2 linked regions of the Anolis sagrei genome follow. The main gene of each other region encodes a partner of the protein of the gene in region 2 in a complex. Links are inferred from orthologs where the notes say so. Each region holds a gene or a part of one and is shown on either strand. Other genes may lie near its edges.

Region 1 (10,231 bases), on a different chromosome or scaffold from region 2:
TCTAAGCTGAAGAGCCGGTGTTGTCCATAGACGCCTCCAAGGTCATGTGGCCAGCATGACTGCATGGAGTGCTGTTATCTTCCCGCCGGAGTGGTACCTATTGATCTACTCACATTTGTATGTTTTCGAACTGCTAGGTTGGCAGAAGCTGGGGCTGACAGCAGAAGCTTACATCCGCTCCCCGGATTCGAACATGCGACCTTTCATCAACAAGTTTAGCATCTCAGTGGTTTAACCCACTGCGCCCCTGGGGGCTCCCCGCAACCCAGAATATCAAGGCAGAAAATACCACATTATCTGAGTGTGGACTCAGATAACCCAGTTCAAATCAGATATTGTGGAATTTTCTGTCTTGATATTTTGGGATACAGGGCTGTGTGCAAGGACCCCTCAGTTCAAAGCAGATAGTGTGGCATTTTCTGCCTTGATATTCGAAGGGCCCTTCCACACAGCCCTGCATCCCAGAATATCAAGGCAGAAAATCCCACATTACCCGAGTGTGGACTCAGATAACCCAGTTCAAAACAGATATTGTGGGATTTTCTGCCTTTATATTCTGGGACATAGGACTGTGTGGAAGGGCCCTGAGTTATATGGCTGTGTGGAAGGGCCTTAGTCTCTGGAGCAGCAGAAAACAAGCTTTTCCACCCTTTAAAGTGACATCCTTTCAAATATTTAAACATTGTGATCACGTCCCCTCTCAGTCTTCTTTCTCCAGGTTAAAGATACCCAGCTTCCTAAGCCATTCCTCATAGGCAATGGTTTCCAGTCTGTTGGTCATCCTCCTCTGGTCAGATTCCAGCTTGCCAATGTCATTTTTGTATTATGGTGCCTAGAACTTGCCTATTTGAATTCTATTCTTTGGTGGAAAAGAGGACAAAAGTGTCATAGTGATGACGGCACTGATGATGAAAAGCAAAAGAAGAGGGATAGAAGCAAAGGAAAGGTAAGGAGGTTGGGGAAGAGAGGCAAAGATAGTAAAGAATGGGCAAACTTCGGTCCTCTAGGTGTTTTGGACTTCAACTCCCAGCATTCCTAACAGCCTCAGGCCCCTTCCTAAGGGCCTAAGGCTGTTAGGAATGCTGGGAGTTGAAGTCCAAAACACCTGGAGGACCGAAGTTTGCCCATGCCTGATTCATAACCTCTTGTTTCATGGAATAATCCCTCCCAGTTCTCCAAGCCTTGTCTTCTCCAAGCTAAACACAGCCAGCTCCCTCAGCAGTTCCTGGTAGGGCTTGGCTTCCCAACATTAGCCCTGTCAATACCTTTCTTGGACTGAGGTGCCCAGAACTAGACACAGCCTGATCCCAGCTGAGGTCTGACCCAAGCAGAAAGGAGTGGGACTCTGACTTCCTTGGGGATGGAGCACCTCACAGAAAGTGATGGAAGCAGCAGTGGAAGTGCCTCCCCTCCTCGGGGGAACTCCCTCCCTCCCTCCCTCCCTCCCTCCCTCAGGAAAGCCCCTCCGCGGCCTCCTCCTCCTCCTCCTCACCGTGTAGTTCTCCACCAGCTCGGAGCCGAGGACGCGGGCGACTTTGGGGGGTTCCTCGCCTTCCTCGCCGGCCCCCATCACCTCCATGGCGACCACCACAGCTGGGAAGAGGAGGAAAGGCCGCTTGGAAGGGGAGGTGGTGTGGGAAGCTCTCACTCGGCCGCTCTTGTTGTTGTTGTTGTTGTTGTGGCGGCCCTTGCGCCGCCTCCCTCAGCAGTGGCCTCTGCCAGCTCAGCCAGGGCTGTCACCGCCGCCATCTTTGATTCCCCCCTCCCCCTCACGCCCAGTAGAGTCGCTGAGAGAAAGGACAAGCCCCGCCCTCGGTCGCTAACACTCCTTTTCTGCGCTTGCGCAGAAGGAGGAGGAAACGCGAAAACCTCGGCCTCGAGGGGGCGGGGCTGAGCTTTGGAGGCGGGGCTAAACGAACACAGGATGGGCCATACCATCGGAATTGGGAAGGGGTATTTTTTTATTATTACTTATGGGTCGTGACCGCCCATTCTTATGCAGGGCTCGCTTAACGTTTACGGCGAACCCCCCTCTCAACAGATGGAAGCGGCACCTGGAAAATAAACAATGTGGAGAGGGAGCTTTTGGAAAATCTTGCTCCGCCCACAGCAAGTCCTTGAGTGACAAAGGCTGCTCCTACTTCACTGTAGAATTGACGCAGTTTGAGACCACTTTCATAGAATCATAGAATCAAAGAGTTGGAAGAGACCTCATGGGCCATCCAGTCCAACCCCCTGCCAAGAAGCAGGAATATTGCATTCAAAGTACCCCTGACAGATGGCCATCTAGCCTCTGTTTAAAAACCTCCAAAGATGGAGCCTCCACCACACGCCAGGGCAGAGAGTTCCACTGCTGAACAGCTCTCACAGTCAGGAAGTTCTTCCTCATGTTCAGATGGAATCTCCTTTCTTGTAGTTTGAAGCCATTGTTCCATTGTGTCCTAGTCTCCAAGGAAGCAGAAAACAAGCTTGCTTCCTCCTACCTGTGGCTTCCTCTCACATATTTATACATGGCTATCATATCTCCTCTCAGCCTTCTCTTATTTAGGGTAAACATGCCCAGCTCCTTAAGCCACTCCTCATAGGGCATGTTCTCCAGACGCTTGATCATTTTAGTCGCCGTCCTCTGGACACATTCCAGCTTGTCATTAACTGCCATGGCTCAATCCTAGGGAATCCTGGGGGTGGGAATTGATCTTGAGAACAACAAAACATCACTCAGAAGACAAGGGAAACAGGGCCAGTTAACTCCTCCCAACAAAGGATTCCCCCAGGCAGGAGGCAGCTAGGCTTTGAAGCTGCAAGGCCATTTGAAAGGAGTGCAAAGAAAGGCTTAGTACATTTAACTCAAATTTGTTATTTATTTATTTATTTATTGTGTCATCAGCAACCAGACATTTGTATTACATTTTTTAACAAAAACAAACAAACAGACAAAACACAGAATTAGCAAGGTTTGGTATTTGATTAAATGTCCTTTGACCAGCAGCTGGTCACTTGGAGTGCCTCTGGTGTTGCCGCAAGGAAGTCCTCCATTGTGCATTGGGGGACATGAGAGAAGCCTCCTCGCAGGATTGCAAGACATCCGGGTGTCCCCTGGGCAATGTCTTCGTAGACGGCTGATTCTCTCGCTCCAGAAGCGACTTGCAACATACTTGAATTTGTTAAAGGCAGAATAAACTTCAAATCGCTGCCATCATTGAAAGTACTATGCTACCTTCGTGACCGTACGTCGTTCCAAGTACCAACCCGGGCCCTTCGTTCCTCAGGGGAGGTCCTCCTTTCGCCTCTACCAATCTCACAAGCTCGTCTTGTGGGCACAAGGGAGAGAGCCTTCTCTTCTGTGGCCCCCTGACTTTGGAACTCTTTACCTGGGGAGATCAGGAAAGCCCCTTCACCGGAAACATTTAAAAAGAACCTCAAAACCTGGCTTTTGCACTGTGCCTTTGGCGAATAGGTGCACAGCATTATATTTTACACCTCAACGTTTTTGGCTAATGGAGTTTGTGACCTCCAAATAGGATGTTCTGTCCCACAGCTCTGTGTTTTATGAGTTCCATTTAAATGTCCTGCTCCTATTTTATCTCATCATAGTTGGTTAATGGTTTGTTATTTGGAAAATGTGACCTGTCCATTGTCATCTCTATCGTGATTGTGTCTATTGGACTGTTTATTATTATTATTATTAATGTCATTTTGATAATGTTGTTGTTGTCTGTTGTATATGCTTTGGTTTTATTGCTGTATTATGTTGTCTGGGCTTGGCCCCATGTAAGCCGCTCCGAGTCCCCATCGGGGAGATGGTGGCGGGGTAGAAATAAAGATTATTATTATTATTATTATTATTATTATTATTATGCTGTTTGCCAGAACATTAACTTTTGATTCTTGCATATAATGTTTTGTTTTCTCAGGGAAGAAGCTCCTGCTGTTGTTATCCAGGATTTTTTTTCAAGTCAGGAGCAACTTGAGAAACTGCAAGTTGCTTCTGGTGTGAGCGAACTGGCCATCTGCAAGGACATTGCCCAGGGGACACCCAGATGTTTCTCCCATGTCCCCACATGAGGGGCTGGAGCTGACAGACAGGAGCACTCCACGCTGCCTGGATTTGAACCTCTAACCTTTTGGTCAGTAGTCCTGTCGGCACAAGGGTTTAACTCATTGTTCCACTGGGGGCTCTGTTATCCAGGAGAAAACAGGGCTAATATATTTCCTCCAGTATTTCAACTCTCCTATACATCTTTGGTATAATATTTAAGCTATATAGGTTATTGTACAGCACAGTAGCAACTATCTCTAGCACCAATCTACTACCACTATCCAGACCATTCTGTGATCCTTTTTTTGTTAGTGTATGAATATCAGAATGCATTTAAAATGGATTATCCTACCCAAAAAGTAAGAAAATCCGCAATGTAGCCCCTGAAGGGATATTTATTTTATTTTAGGTGCAGAATGTATCATACGAGTTCTCTATATCACATTAGTGCAAATGCAAGGTGAGGAAAAACCTATTTGGAGCAGAAAGAGAGTTAACATTTTAAAAATGATTTATTATTGGTCTTAAGTTAGTCCTCCCTGTTTGAAGAAAAGAGAAGAATTGCTCAATATAAATAAACAAGGGAAAAAATTCACAATGAATGCTGGCAAGAAAATTTTTGCAGTTCTAAAAAATGGGGTAATTTCCCCAATATCTGGCATGTACAAGGCTAATTTTAAATACACATACATATTTGACACATAAATACCTGACTTCATTATAATTTGGCCAGCTTTCCTAAGTTGCTTGCAACTCAGTTGGACAGAGGAGGGAGCTCTGATCAATGGAGAGAGATAAATCCTGTTTTGTGATATGGAACATACTTTCAGTAGGAATGCTTCTGCCTGAATGATGCAAAAGTGTAGGTCAGTGCAGTTGTTTTGTCCAGGTTAGAACATCAACCGCATCACAATGATGCTTGTAGGAAAAAAGATAGTAAGAATAAGTTCAGAAATTTATACAATCCAATGTGAAGACATCATTTCAAGACGTATTTTTGGAAACATTTCCAGGCTTGTGCTCATCTCCCTGAAGAATTAGATGTTACAATGAGTTGATGAATACGTCAAGCAAACTGCTAAAAGCAGCCTGAGGAATATCTATTGAATGGGGGATTCTGCCTCTCAGGGCCCTTTCACATAAATATATTAACCCAGAATATCAAGGCAGAAAATCCCACAATATCTGCTTTGAACTGGGTTATCTGAGTTCACACTACCATATATTCCAGTTCAAAGCAGATAATCTGGGATTTTATTCAGCTGTGTGGAGGGTCCTTGGCTACTACATGGTTTGAAGCATAGGCCCATGTTCCTGCCGTAAGGGTCTGTGGTTCTCATGCAGAATCTTGGAAAGTGTTTCTTAAAAAGGACGGTTCCTTCAGTAGGATCTTTTTATATTCCCGGTGGTCAAAAATTAGTTGTGCATTCTTCACCATCTGCCCTGGTTTTGCTATGACTTGGTCATGTGGATGGATGATGGGAACAACAGAACTCAGGCAGCAGAGGTGGACCATGAGATCATGTATCATCTGAATCCTGGAATAAGCATCAATGAAGGATCAGGTTTTCCTTCAGTTCTGTGTCTACTGAAGTGAAAACAGAGCTATCAGTGGAATTGGGAACTGGCTTTAGAAATGTCAGCTGTAACAAACTTCACATACCTCCCCTGAAGACAGGGTGAAAAGTCATGCCTGGAATGGATAGCATGGCCTTTTGTGGGTGTCTCTAAGCTGTGCGGAGCAGTGATCAGCCCTTCTTGATGGACACATTTAGGGCTGACAGCCTGCTATATAAGCAGAGCTTCTAAGGAGAGAAAGCTGGCAGAGACTGGGAATTTGTCTCTGTACAGTTTGCCATCTAAGCCCAGCTCCTGAGTCTTCCTGACCAACAATAAATAATTATGGATGATATTTATAAAGCAGCTGTAAGTAAGATTTTCATATGTAATAATACATTGGGACTTATCTCTAGCTAAGCATGTTTAGGACTGCATTTTGCCTCCTGACAAGAGAACAGGGTGATAATGTTCAGTCTGATGTCACAAATATTATGCAGTGATGATCACGTATTATGTGGTTAAATGTAGTAACAGAACTTTTGACAAGTGTTTTATTTGGTGCAGAGGTTTCTTATACAGCATAGCATATAAATGGGTTGCATGATTACTTTAATCAAATCTACTGTCTCAAGTTTTTTAAAGTTCAGGTTTGTTCTATAGCCCAATCCTGTACAAGGACAGATGTGCTGGAGCTTATTATTTTGAAGGGCTTAAGCCTGCTTTAATTCTGCATAGGATTTAGCTTTTAAATGTACTATATTGCATGTGAATTATTGCAGCCATTACATTAAATATTTGACAGCACATCATCTGGGGAGCTGGGGGAGCTCCTGTTTGTCAGCTCCCGCTTCTCATGCGGGGACATGAGGGAAGCCTACCATAGGATGCTAACACATCCGGGTGTCCCCTGAGCAACGTCCTTGCAGGTGGCCAATTCTCTCACACCAGAAGTGACTTGCAGTTCCCAAGTTGCTCCTGACACGGAAAAAAAAACTTTGTAAAAAGCCAATTATAATTTAATGTGTTATAAAGTCACATTTGAAGTATATGTATACTCAAAGGGAAAGGACTTTAAATCCTAATTGCTAGAAGTTGAAATATAAACCAAACTGAGTCTAGTTTTAAAAGTAGGTAAGGAGTCACTAGAGAAATGTATGGAAGTAATTAAAAAAAAAACCCTCATTTCATTGTGAATGGAAGAACAATCCAAGCTATTTTTAGAGACTAATCGAGTTTGGGTTCTTCGGTGGTTAATCCTGTTATTGAGAAACCTTAGTAAAACAGATTGAAGAAGAATGATTCCTGCATATCAGAGTGAGGGATAAGCTCCCAGAGTGGATTTTAACATCTGGTATGGCTTGTAAATAATCCACCAAAGCAAAGTTGTATTTGGGCTATGGACACACAGTAGTTTAAATAGTGGAAGATTACATTTCAAGGAATATCTGAGATAACACATTTAAACTCACAAATTGCCTGATATTGATTTACATACATTGAGATCCCATAGTGGGGGTGGGTTAGGGGGTAGATAGTAGAGTGAGGTTAGAATCCATATCTCCTCCCTGCATCAGTGGCCCAATCCACAATAGGCTATTAGTTGCTGACTTGCAAATAGAAATATGATGGTCCTGGCTGTCTGAAAAACCATGCTGGAGTCTCGTCTACACTGCCCTATAATGCAGTTTGAAATTGTATTATATGATCAGTGTGGACTCATATAATGCAATTTTCCCATATTTTATAGATTTTTTTTAAAAAAAAACTTACAATGCAATTGTGTTTTATCACAATCTGTCTAAATGTGTTTGCATGTACGAAAGGTTTTTCAAAAGTTGCTTCTCTTCTTTCTTTATGTCTTCACTACTTTTTATTATTATTCACTGCTCTCAAATTGCACCCCAGGCTACTACCATGCCCATGGCTTTTTCCAGCCCTGCGCCCCCTCCCCCTTTATAGGAAAAAATCACCCACTGGAGGAATCACTGCTCTAGAGCGCACCATTATACTTTGTAAATTATTTTACTGTATGTTTATTCCATATTTTCCCTAAGGAGTTGAGGGTACTTCATTTAACCCTCAAAGGTCTTTGTCACATAGGTTTAGTCCCCTTTCTCACAGCTGTATAAAATCCATATTGAACTAGATTATATGGCAATGTGGACTCAGATAACACAGTTCAAAGCAGATATTGTCGATTATCTGCTTTGGTATTCTGGGTTATATGACTGTGTGAAAGGGCTCTCAGCTGACTGGCTTAGCATGCCAAAGGTCACCTAAAAAAGAGGTTTATGGCTAAAGGACGATTTCAAACCAGATTTCTCCTTTCCAAGTCAATGTTGTTAGTTGGGTTGCTGTGAGCTTTCTGGTCTGTATGGCCATGTTCCAGAAGCATTCTCTTCTGGCATTTTGCCCACATCTATGACAGGCATCCTCAGAGGTTGTGAGGTCTGTTGGAAATAGGCAAGAAACACTCAGGGTGAGCTAACACCTCCCAATAAAGGATTCCCCCAGGCAGGATGCAGCCAGATTTTGAAGCTGCAAGGTCATTCAGTGCTAATTAATGTTGCCAACTGCAACATTCTGCCTGAAACAGACAAGAGTTCCTTCTCCCACCCTGGACATTCCACAGATATATAAATCTCATTTGTCCTAGTTTCCAACAGACCTCACAACCTCTGGAGATGCCTACCACAGATGTGGGTGAAATGTCAGGAGAAAATGCTTCTGGAACATGGCCATATAGCCTGGAAAACTCAAAGCAATTCAGCGTTTCCGGCCATGAAAGCCTTCGACAACACAATGTTGTTAGTGTTTTCACATAATTTCTGACTTATGTTGATCCAACCATAGAGTTTTCATGTCAGAATTTATATTCAGAGGAGGTTTGCCTTTGCCTTCTTCTAAGGCTGAGAGGGTATGACTTGCCCTTCATGGCTGAGCTGAGATTTTAACCCTGGTCTCCAGCATCATAGTCCAACACTTCAGTCATTATACCACGCTAGATCCCAGACTTGTCAATGCCTCTGACACCTTACCCACAAAAGAAAGAACATTATGTTATGCATGACTTTTATTGCAGAGTTGATTGCACATTTAAATGTGTAATGAATAATATACCCAATCATTTCTAAATACAACCATTCATTTGGACCAGAGGAATCCAGTTGATTTCTCACCTTGCCCACTGACATCTTATACACAGAGCTAAGTTTAGAACAGTGTCCAGATGCTAGTACGGAGAACATGGCCAGGGATGTGTGTCTAGATAAAAGTCTCCAGGGATAAATACCCATGTCAATCATGTTGGGGGAACAATTGGGCATGTTATCTTTCTTACCCTTACTCGCACCCCAGCCACTCACTAGTGCATAAAAATAGCCAGCATGCCAAAATAGTCAAGTTATGTGCGACACAAACAGAAGTGACAAGAAGCATTTGTTCACTGCCTTCAGAGTTTCCAGCTATCCTGGATTGCCAAAGGCTTGTTTTTTTTGTTTTGTTTTCTGCTATTACAATGAAAGAGCATCTCACAGCTGCTCCACTTCCATCACAGAGGCTTAGATGAATGGATTCAGGTTTCACTACAAAATTTTGAGTGGCGGTTTTGCTGCTATTGTTATCTGTTTCCAGTATAGACAGGCTCTTCCTCTTTTTCTGTCATTATCCTCTGAAGGTGCCCGATCTTTTGAAATGGATTGTTAACATGCTAGCTTGGCAAGACTGATGACTTCCATAAGGCTGTTCTGGCTCCACAAACAACTTGACGGGGGCAAAAGATTACACTAGGGTTATCTCTGAGTGCAGCTTATCCTGAAGAGACGATCAGAACAGAACACACACCAGTGTCTCTACTGATCAGACATAAGGAACAGCAGGATCATGAAATGCCTTTCATTCCCAAATAGGAAAACACGAATTCTAGAGTTGCCATTTCTAGGATTTTGAGTCAGCTACAACCAAAGGTTTGTACAGAACACAAGTCATATGGTTATTTTCCAGACATGGGACAATTTAGAATGGCATTCAGTATTAATATTATACCTTTCAACTGCCCTGATTTGGCAGGCATGGTCCTTGAGAAAGTCCTACTTTCCCAGCTGTTTTTAAAATATCCCAGTAAACCTCATGTCCGCCCACCTTCCGCTTTTGTTTTTAACTTACTCCAATGTTGCAAAATGAATTTGAAATACAAAGTATTAACTCATCAAGAGGGAGGGGGAAACGGGGGTGGGGGTGGGATATGTCTCTGAAACTGTTTACATAAATTGAGGGATTTCTCTGCTTTAAAATAGTTGTTTCATGTGCCTTCCTCTTTAGCGTTTGTCTCTTTCTTGCCTTCTCACACCATTTTAACCATACTCTGATTTGGCTTAGCCATCTCTTCTGCTTTTCATTTGTGAAATGTTGGCAGGCATGGAAGAGTCAAATAGCATTGGTTCAATGAAGAAACTGTGGCTGAAGTTGTATCAGAATAGGTACAGCATGAACCGCACCTATACATGTAGAACATGTTTCTGGCCTTCCATGGAAACTGTGGATAATAGCATGTCCCATTGAAAGGAACAACTTCCGGTAGGAGCAGACTATAAAATTGCATTGGTGGATCTCAGAACATATATTTTTTTGTGA
Region 2 (10,295 bases):
GGGGTTGGACTGGATGGCCCATGAGATCTCTTCCAAAGCCTAGCATATACCAAGGGCCGGATGGAAGTGTAAATTTCCAACACAGTTATATTCCAAGATAAACAGAAATAGTAAAATCCAACTATCTTCTTGAGGGATTGGATACAGTCCAATACATTGATGTCTAGACTGAATGGCCATCTGTCAGGGGTGCTTTGAATGTGATTTTCCTGCTTCCTGGCAGGGGGTTGGACTGGATGGCTCATGAGATCTCTTCCAATTGTATAATTCTATGAATCTATGTGCAGGACTTTGTTTTCTTTTCAATGACATTTTTGTAGAGTGTTAGAAACACGTATAGACCCTGTAAAAATCTGTTTGCATACAATATAAAGCCTATGTAAATGCTACTGGAACATGGTAAAAGCAAAGAAATAATACGTCCTCATTCAATAGTGATTCATTTATATGCTTCCTTCCAAAGTATCTGAAAGCCCGGAAGATCCAGAGGAATGTCTTCTATATCACTTAATCCTTTACTGGTTGAACTGCAGCTGGTCAGACCCTCATTTCCCTGCACAGGATAAAAAGTGATTGTATTCAGACTATATTCATAAGAGCTGTTATTTCATTTTAGCCCTTACACTTATGCTATTATAATACTTTTTAAAAGTAGAATAATAGAATCAGAGTTGGAAGAGACCTCGTGGGTCATCTACTCCAACCCCATTCTGCCAAGAAGCAGGGAAATCGCATTCACAGCACCCCCAACAGATGGCCATCTAGCCTCTGTTTAAAAGCCTCCAAAGAAGGCGCCTCCACCACACTCTGAGGCAGAGAGTTCCACTGCTGAACAGCTCTCATGGTTAAGAAGTTCTTCCTAATGTTCAGGTGGAATCTCCTTTCCTGTAATTTGAAACCATTGTTCAGCGTCCTGGTCTCCAGGGCAGCAGAAAGCAAGCTCCCCCCCCCCTCCCCGCTTGTTATGACTTCCCCTCACATATTTATACATGGCCCTCATCATGTCTCCTCTCAGCCTTCTCTTCTTCAGTGCAGCTCTTTAAGCCACTCCTCATAGGGCTTGTTCTCCAGACCCTTGATCATTTTAGTCTCCCTCCTCTGAACACATCCCAGCTTGTCAGCATCTCCCTACAATTGCCCAGAACTGGACAGAGTATTCCAGGTGTGGTCTGACCAAGGCAGAATAGAGGGGGAGCGTGACTTCCCTAGATCTAGACACTATGCTCCTATTATTCATGCCAAAATTCCATTGGCTTTTTAAGCCGCCACATGACTGTTTATATATCTATGGAATGTCCAGGGTGGGAGAAAGAACTCTTGTCTGTTTGAGGCAAGTGCGAATATTACAATTCTCACTTACCTCAAACAGACAAGAGTTGTTTCTCCCACCCTGCTGTAAATGCGGAATGTCCAGGGCGATAGAAAGATCTCTTGTCTGTTTGAGGCAGGTATGAATTTTGCCTTTGTCCACCTTGATTAGCACTGAACGGTCTTGCAGGTTCAAAGCTGGGCTGGTTGCTGCCTGGAGGATCCTTTGTTGGGAGGTGTTAGCTGGCCCTGATTGTTTCCTGTCAGGAATTCCCCTGTTATTTGCATGTTCCCCTTTATTTACTGTCCTGATATTAGAATTTTTTTTAATACTGGTATCCAGATTTTGTTCATTTTTATAGTTTCCTCCTTTCTGTTGAAATTGTCCACAGGTTTGTGAATTTCAGTGGCTTCTCTGTAAAAATGAAAATGACCATAGTCTAGCTACCAGTATTAAGATGGCTCCTCTGTGTAATCTGACATGGTAGGTGTTAGATCCCAAAAAAGGATTCCCCAGAAAACAACCAGCCTGTCTTTGAAGCTGTAGGTCCATTCAATGCTAATCAAGCTGGCCAATGGCAGCATTCACACTTGCCTCAAGCAGACAAGAGTTCTTTCTCCCACCCTGGACATAATTCCACAGATATATAAACCTCATTTGCCTAGTTTCCAAAAGACTTCACAACCTGTGAGGATGCCTATCATAGATATGGGTGAAACGTCAGGAATGAATGCTTCTGGAACATGGCTATATAGCCCAGAAAACTCACAGAAGCACAGTGATTCTGGCCATGAAAACCTTCGACAACACATTAAAAGCCATAGTTTAAAATGGACTAGGCAAACCTTCCGGAAGAGATAGAAATACGATTTTCTGCTGTTTACATGCAAAAATAAATGAGAATTTTTGCACAGAATGAGTCTGAAGAGTGTGAAAATGTGCATCAGACCAAATCCTCACTTTTTCTTGATACTTGAGAAACAAGATTTGACGGTTTTCCCAAACATTTTGGAATGTTTGTCTTGCAATTCCTATCAATGTCCCACTTGAGTGTTGTAAACCCATTTCACTTGGAAGGGAAAAAGATTCTGTTGAGTGACTCTCTCTTGCCCTTCTCCTTCCATGAGACTTGGAGCCCTTCCACACAGCCATATAACCCAGAATATCAAGGCAGAATACCCGACAATATCCGCTTTGAACTGGTTTTTCTGAGTCCACACTGCCATATCTTCCAGTTCAAAGCAGATAATGTGGGGTTTTATTCAGCTGTGTGGAAGGGGCCTTGATCTCTTTGAGGAAGCCCAAAAGCAGGTCCACCACCGACTCCTCCTGCTGTATTTCTGCCTCTTCTTGGCAGCAGATGTCTCCAGAAATGGTGCTGAAGGATCGGTTTCACACCTTACGCTAAGAATAAAGCCGTCCCTTCACAGCTTTAAGAGGCGAGGAAGGGAAGAAAGGCGGCCGCCTCTGTATTTTCGCCTCGAGACTATGAAATGTCTCTTCCTTCCCCCTCTCCAGCCCCTTCCTATAATTTGAGCCTGAGGAAATCATTTCTTTGAAAGCATTTATATTAATCTCTACAGGGTTTGGGAAATGCAGCCCTTAATTGTGTTAAAAATAGTTGCATTTCTGCACATTGGCCGAGGAAGAATCCCTCTGTTTGGCTTCTTCTGAAAGGTGAATGAGAGCAAAAGGCAGGAATGGCTGAATGGGCTCCTTCCTTCCTTCCCACCTGCCTCCATTTCCGTGGCCTCCCCGAGGAATGGCGCAGGCCCCATTTTAGAAATGATAAGGCAGCATAAATTTAGCTCCTCTGAAGAGCTGCTGCAAGATAACCGTTGATCCTGGGAACAACTCAAAATGATTGCTTGGCTTTTATTTTGGTCAGCGGAGGGGACAAAGCAAAACAAGATGAAACCACATTTACCTACTCAACCCCTCACACACTGAAATGAAGTCTATTTTCTGTCTGATCTTTTTGAGGGGATATAATTATGATTATTGATTACCGGAGGGGAAAGCTTATATATGCATATCTCTGTTTCTGTGTTTTGTCTGCTGCGTTTTGTGCATTTTAAAATATAGGGTAATTCAGCCCCGCTGGGCTCCATACATTAAGTAGAGCCGGTTCTCTGTATCCATGGGTTCTGCCTCCACAGATTCAACCCAACACAACTCGAATATCTGTCTGTCTGTCTATCTATCTATCTATCTATCTATCTATCTATCTATCTATCTATCTATCTAAAGAGTTACAAGCTCTTTCTGTCATGTATTAGAGTAGTTTGCTTGTATTTTACAAGGTAAAGGTAAATAATAATAATAATAATCCTTTATTTATACCCCGCTACCATCTCCCGAAGGACTCGGTGCGGCTTACAAGAGGTCAAGCCCAAATACATCAGTAAAAAAGCAACAACAACAATACAGACAATAAATAAACTCATAAACAAAGCAATAAACAGTAACAATAACACCACAACGCATTAAAAAGCCATGGCAGGCCAATTGTAATAATTAAAATTTTAAAAATGCTGGGCATGACAAGGTGTCATATAACTAGGATAGGTATTTGAAGAGAGATGGAGTGAGCAGACAATCCTAGATCATTAGTAAAGTGCGATTAGGGACATGTTGCTTGGGTTTCCTTATTCTGGGAAGGCACACTGGAACAATCATGTTTTCAGGCTCCTCTTAAAGACTGCCAAAGTTGGGGCATGCCTAATGTCCTTGGGAGCGAGTTCCAGAGTCGAGGGGTCACCACCAAGAAGGCCCTATCCCTCGTCCCCACCAATCGTGCTTGCGATGGAGGTGGGATCGTGAGTAGGGCCTCTCCAGATGAATGAAGAGATCGTGTGGGTTTGTACACAGAGATGCGGTCACGCAGGTAGGTGGGTCCCAAACTGTTTAGGGCTTTGTAAGTAAGCACCTGCACCTTGAATTGGGACCGGAAAATGAACGGCAGCCAATGGAGCTCCTTAAACAGGAGGGTTGACCTCTCCCTGTAAGGAGCACCAGTTAACAACCTGGCCGCCGCCTGTTGGACCAGTTGAAATTTCCGGGCCGTTTTCAAGGGTAGCCCCACGTAGAGTGCATTAGAGTAATCCAATCTGGTTTTCCCCTGAGAACAAGCCCTATGAGGAGTGGCTTAAAGAGCTGGGCATGTTTAGCCTGAGGAAGAGAAGGCTGAGAGGAGACATGATGAGAGCCATGTATAAATATGTGAGGGGAAAACATAGGGTGGAGGGAGCAACTTGTTTTCTTCTGCCCTGGAAGTAGCAGCCAAAAGTAAAAGGACCAAGGCAGTGACATCTCTAGCTCATCCCTTATTTGGGTATCAGCCAGCACGTCAATGACTTAAATCAAGAAATAGTTTTCTAAGATCTACAGAGACACTAGCTGGAACACCCCAGCAAGCGAGAGTCCAAAAGTGGCAGGCTCAAACCCAGAACCTCAATCAATGGCTGAAACCCCCTGGGCACACAGAAGACTGGGAAACTTGGAAGGCGCTGAACAGACTGCACTCTGGCACCATGAAATGCAGAGCCAATCTTAAGAAATGGGGCTACAAAGTGGAATCCACGACATGCGAGTGTGGAGAAGAGCAAACTACAGACCACCTGCTGCAATGCACCCTGAGCCCTGCCACATGCACAATGGAGGACCTCCTTGTGGCAACACCAGAGGCACTCTAAGTGGCCAGATACTAGTCAAAGGACATTTAACCAACTACCAAGCTTGCAAACTTTGTGTTTTGTCTTTTTGTCTGTTTGTTTTGTTAAAAATGTAATACAACTGTCTGGTTGCTCCTGACACGATAAATAAATAAATAAATTCTGCCCTGGAGACTAGGATGTGGAACAATGGCTTCAAACTATAGCAAAGGAGATTCCACCTGAATATGAGGAAGAACTTCCTAAATGTGAGAGCCGTTCAGCAGTGGAACTCTCTGCCCTGGTGGAGGCTCCTTCTTTGGAGGCTTTTAAACAGAGGCTAGATGGCCATCTGTCAGGGGTACTTTGAATGCAATTTTCCTGTTTCTTGGCAGAGGGTTCGACTGGATGGCCCATGAGGCCTCTTCCAATTTGATGATTCTGTGCTTGTTTGCCATTTGATTACACATCAGCATGCTAGAAATGAATGTGTCTAATCTTTGAGGAAAAGTGAAACAGTGTGTGTGTGTGTGTGTGTGTGTGTGTGTGTGTGTAAGTGGGTGCACGTAGATATTAATGATGTATTATTTTTCCTTCCTCAGTGTATCTGAAGTTTGATTTCTGAAAATGTCTGAAGAGTGAGTAGTAGTCTTTTTTTAATTTGCTTTATTTTTTCTGATATAGCAAGCCAAGGTGGCTCACAACAAACAGGTCACAATATTGATTAAAAACAGAGCCAATGAATTAAAATATAAATATCAAAATTAAAAAAACAAATATTTTGTGTCATAAAGCATAAATATTAAAATACAATAAATATACAATTAAAACTACATTTTAAAATATCACCATTAATCATAGTAGGGGTGAGTGGGTGTTTTGCTACTTAATATCTGGTTTCTTTACAAGCAGCATTGCAGAGAGTAGAAGTATGGAAATTTATTCAGAATCTTCCACATGTATGATAATTGACATAGATTCACTGGGTTGCTGTGAGTTTTCCAGGGTATATGGCCATGTTCCAGAAACATTCTCTCCTGACGTTTTGCCCACGTCTATGTTGAATTATTTCAGCCAGAGAAGTCAGCAATTAACCAACCTGAACACAGCATAGTATTTGAGGACATAGAAATGCTGGGCCACTCTAACAACCATCATGTCAGACTACACAGAGAAGCCACTGAAATCCACAAGCATGGGGACAATTTCAACAGAAAGGAGGAAACCATGATAATGAACAAAATCTGGCTACCAGTCGTTTAAAAAGCTCTAAAATCAGGACAGTAAATAAAGAGTAACACTCAAAAAAGCAGGGAAATCCAGACTGGAAACAATCAGGGCCAGCTAACACCTCCCAATAAAGGATTCCCCCAGCAGGAAGCAACCAGTCTTCGAAGCTGCACGGCTATTCCATACTAATCAATCTGACCAATTGCAACATTCACACTTGCCTCAAGCAGACAGGAATTCCTTCTCCCTCCCTAGACATTATTCCACAGATATATAAACCCCACTTGCCTAGTTTCCAACAGACCTCACAACCTCTGAGGATGCCTGCTATAGATATGGGTGAAACATCAGGAGAGAATGCTTCTGGAACATGTCCATACAGCCCGAAAAACTCACAGCTACCTAGTGATTCTGGCCATGAAAGCCTTCGACAACACATTGATATAGATTCAGATTTCATATGCTTCTGGAAGGTAATTTGTGCCTCTTGAGTTGGGAGGAGGACTGAGGAAATCAAAATTTCTTGAGGAATGAGTGATCCTTTTGAGCATTTTTATCTGGAATTCAAAAATATTCTAAAATCCAAAATTGTTGGCAAATGTCTGAGACAGTTACACCTTGGTTTTCTTATGGTTTAGTATATGCACCCTTTGTGTCATGTACAAAGTATTGTATGGCCTTACCTTCATGCTATGTGTACAAAGTCCATATGAAGCAGGAATTAATTTTGGGTTTAGACTTGGGCCCTGTCTCAAAGATATCACATTATGTATTTGTACAGTATATACAAATAGTAGTAGTAGTAGCAGCAGTAGTAATATTTTTATTTTTGTGTTGTCGAAATGACCGGAATCCCTGGGTTGTTGTGGGGTTTTTTCGGGCTATATGGCCATGTTCTAGAGTAGTGGTTCTCACCCTGTGGGTCCCCAGATGTTTTGGCCTTCAACAAGGAGCCTGTGTTGTCCATAGACACCTCCTGATTGTGTGGCCAGCATGCCTACATAGAGTGTCTTTTTGCCTTTCCCAGCAAGGCAGTACCTATTGGTCTACTCACATTTGCATGTTTTTGAGGTTGGCAGGAGCTAGGGCTAACAGTGGGAGCTCACCTCATCCTACAGATTTGAAATGCCTACCTTCGGGTCAGCAGTTCAACAGCACAAGGGTTTAACCCATTGTGTCACCCACAGCCCCCTATGCTGTACATGTATTCCAAAAATCGAAAACAATCAAAAACACTTCTGGTCCTAAGAATTTCAGATAAGGGATACTTAACCTGTGTTGAGTGAAAATTGAAGCCCTGGGAATGAAAACACATTAAGCAGTTTTCAGATCTATAAATGTGATTTATTCTGACTGATTGGGTTTCGTCTGTCTTTTACAGGGAAGAAATCACTGTGAGTACCCACAACAAAGCATCTTCAAGTTGGATGAACAATGACCATTCATCTTTTATTTTGTGCTGTGTTCTTTTCCTCTTTCAAATGAGAGAAACTCTTGTTTTTGTTAGTTTTCTGCCACATGTGGTAACTACAATGTAAAGGAATTGGTGGGACTGATTCCTGAATAAATATGCTAAATGAACGAACCAAAGCCATTCCCATAGAGCAAATGTGCTCATTCTACTGCTACTTGTAAGCTCACAGACCCACAAATCCAAGATAAGACTTATAGCTGATACATCTATGGTTTTGTGTCTGTCCAAATCTCCCTTTTATCTCTGGAATCCTATAATATCTGTTAATTAATGTAAATTAACGTATCACTGGAATCCTATCTCACCTTTTAATTAATTTAGCTTTGAGTAGTAGAAGTACTATGAAATCCTCTGAGCGAATTGCTAAGATCATGGTGTGTATCAGAACACCCCCAAGAGAGCCTAATGTGCATTGGGACCAATGCACATCAGTGTTCAATGTGCATCAATGCACTCTGTGCATCAGTGTGCAATATGCATTGGGCATTTTGCTGGCTCTGCCATGTAGTGATGCAACAACAGCCCTCAGATCAATACGGACTTTATAAAATTGACCTATTCTAGTTCATGTGTGTGTGTGTGTGTGTGTGTGTATGTGTGTGTGTATGTGTGATATCTCTCCTATAGAATTATATCTAATATTTTTAACAACATATTTGTATTTAATTTAAATGTGAAAGAATCTCTCTACTGGATTTTGCACTTTAGCTTTTGGGAACATGAGTTCCCAAAGTGTTTGCAAGGGATCACCTGTGGTAGTTTTTTAGAACTCGTCTCCTTTACAAATTTTGAAATGATTTGTTTTTAGACATAACTTCCAGAAGTTCTTAATTTCTAAACAAAGTCAAGAATCAAGCTATTTTAGGATTATATTTCTCCCCCTCAAATTATTATTATTATTATTATTATTATTATTATTATATATTAATTATAATATAATAATAATAACAACAATAATAATAACAACAACAACAATATGAGGATTTAAAGATCAAACTGCAAACACTCTGGCACAAACCAGTAAAGGTGGTCCCAGTGGTGATCGGCACACTGGGTGCAGTGCCTAAAGACCTTGGCCTGCACTTAAACACAATCAGTGCTGACCAGATTACAATCTGCCAGCTGCAAAAGGCCACCTTACTGGGATCTGTACACATTATTCACCGATACATCACACAGTCCTAGACACCTGGGAAGTGTCCGACGTGTGATCCAATACAACAGCCAGCAGAGTGATCTTGTTTGCTGTGGAGTCTTGTTGTGTTTCTAATAATAATAATAATTATTATTATTATTAATAATAATAATATTCCGCTCCATTTTCCCAAGGGGATTACGGTATACACATATATAGGCAAACATTCAATGCCTTGTATACAGTGAACAATGAAATACAATACAAAAACAAAGACAAAGATTTCCCTTTCCATCTCCGATGTCTAGAAGCGATTCTCAACTCTGGCCATGGGGAGGAGCTTTTGTTGCACGTTTCCATGCTGAGAAGCCTGTTGTGCGTAGACCTTCCTGGTCGTGATTGCCGGCATGGCTGCATGGGCATCTTTTACCTTCCCACCAAGGTGGTACCTATTAATCTACTCACATTACGTGTTTTCAAACTGCTAGGTTGGCAGGAGCTAGGGCTAATGGCAGGGGCTCACCCCAGCTTCGAACTGCCTTCTGGTCAGCGGTTTTTCTGCAGCTAGCGGGTTACCCCACTGTGCTACCACAGCTGTACCGGTAGGCTGTTAGGAATTGTGGGAGTTGAAGTCCAAAAGACCTGGAGGGCCAAAGCTTACCCATGCCTGAGTTAACACAAGCAAAAGCAAACTGGTGTAGCCTTCCTTAATGTCTGCCATCTTGACCACAATCCGGTGTGGCTATCTTGACCACACTCTGATGTTTCTTGGCTATACATATTGAGCCTTTTATCTGTGAATTATTAGGGAATATGAAATTACAGACAAGATGGACTATAAATCCCATAATTTTGGACAGTATAGCCTATGAACATAGATGATGGGAATACTAAAGAATATCTGGGAGCTCAAGCCTGGGAAGCATTGAATTAGGGCACAGTATACTAGTTGTCAAGCCTGAAGGCACCAGGCCCTGTCTGAGCTAATCAAGGCAGAGTCAGGCTTAATTCATACTTAAGATAAGGGACTGCCAAGAAATACAAGGTATTGTAGGGTATGATGGCAATGGCAAACTACTGTTGAGTATCCCTTAACAAAGAAACATTCATGAAATTCATGGTGGTTGCCACAAGACTGCAGAAAGCTTGATGACACTCCCACTGACTCTCTTTCTAAGAAAAATGACCAAAGGAAAACCTTACCCCACCCAAATAAAACTGGTGACATCTAGTGGGTGAACTATAAATGACAGAAAGACAAATGAAGTCCTGGATCTGACTAGGAATTTATATTACAATACTTATTTACTTCCTTACTTAGGCAATCCCTTGTAGCCTGAGAATGGTGGCCTTCCAAGTGTATTGTCTTGGCGTTGGGTCCATGGGTAGCTGTGGGGCCCTATTCTTGATCCGCATGTTCTCCCATAGTGAGGAAATCGGTTTCCAGGTGGAAGGCGGTCCCGGTCAGGGCTGGCTTGATGTGCCTTCCTCTTG

What was found. Proteins that work in one complex are often made in the same cells at the same time.
Region 1: the proteins of TNNI3 (region 2) and TNNC1 are in contact, whole or in part, in a crystal structure (PDB 4Y99), measured with the Homo sapiens proteins. The link is inferred for Anolis sagrei from reciprocal best matches to the Homo sapiens genes TNNI3 and TNNC1. Residues at the interface, in NP_000354.4 of Homo sapiens: Glu32, Pro33, His34, Ala35, Lys36, Lys37, Lys38, Ser39, Lys40, Ile41, Ser42, Ala43, Ser44, Arg45, Lys46, Leu47, Gln48, Leu49, Lys50, Thr51, Leu52, Leu53, Leu54, Ile56, Ala57, Lys58, Glu60, Leu61, Glu64, Arg136; in NP_003271.1 of Homo sapiens: Asp3, Ile4, Lys6, Ala7, Glu10, Gln11, Thr13, Glu15, Gln16, Glu19, Phe20, Ala22, Ala23, Ile26, Phe27, Val44, Met45, Leu48, Gln50, Glu59, Met60, Glu63, Glu66, Asp67, Gly68, Asp73, Asp75, Glu76, Phe77, Met81.

What each region holds. Positions count from the first base shown.
Region 1 is NC_090022.1:68,379,798-68,390,028, forward strand, and holds the start of TNNC1 (troponin C, slow skeletal and cardiac muscles), read left to right. Parts: upstream 1-5,796; 5' UTR 5,797-5,941; coding exon 5,942-5,965; intron 5,966-10,231. Other genes in the region: NISCH (nischarin), read right to left, coding at 1,493-1,579. UniProt on the Homo sapiens protein: Troponin is the central regulatory protein of striated muscle contraction. Tn consists of three components: Tn-I which is the inhibitor of actomyosin ATPase, Tn-T which contains the binding site for tropomyosin and Tn-C.
Region 2 is NC_090026.1:21,099,800-21,110,094, forward strand, and holds the start of TNNI3 (troponin I, cardiac muscle), read left to right. Parts: upstream 1-5,589; coding exon 5,590-5,600; intron 5,601-7,573; coding exon 7,574-7,586; intron 7,587-10,295. UniProt on the Homo sapiens protein: Troponin I is the inhibitory subunit of troponin, the thin filament regulatory complex which confers calcium-sensitivity to striated muscle actomyosin ATPase activity.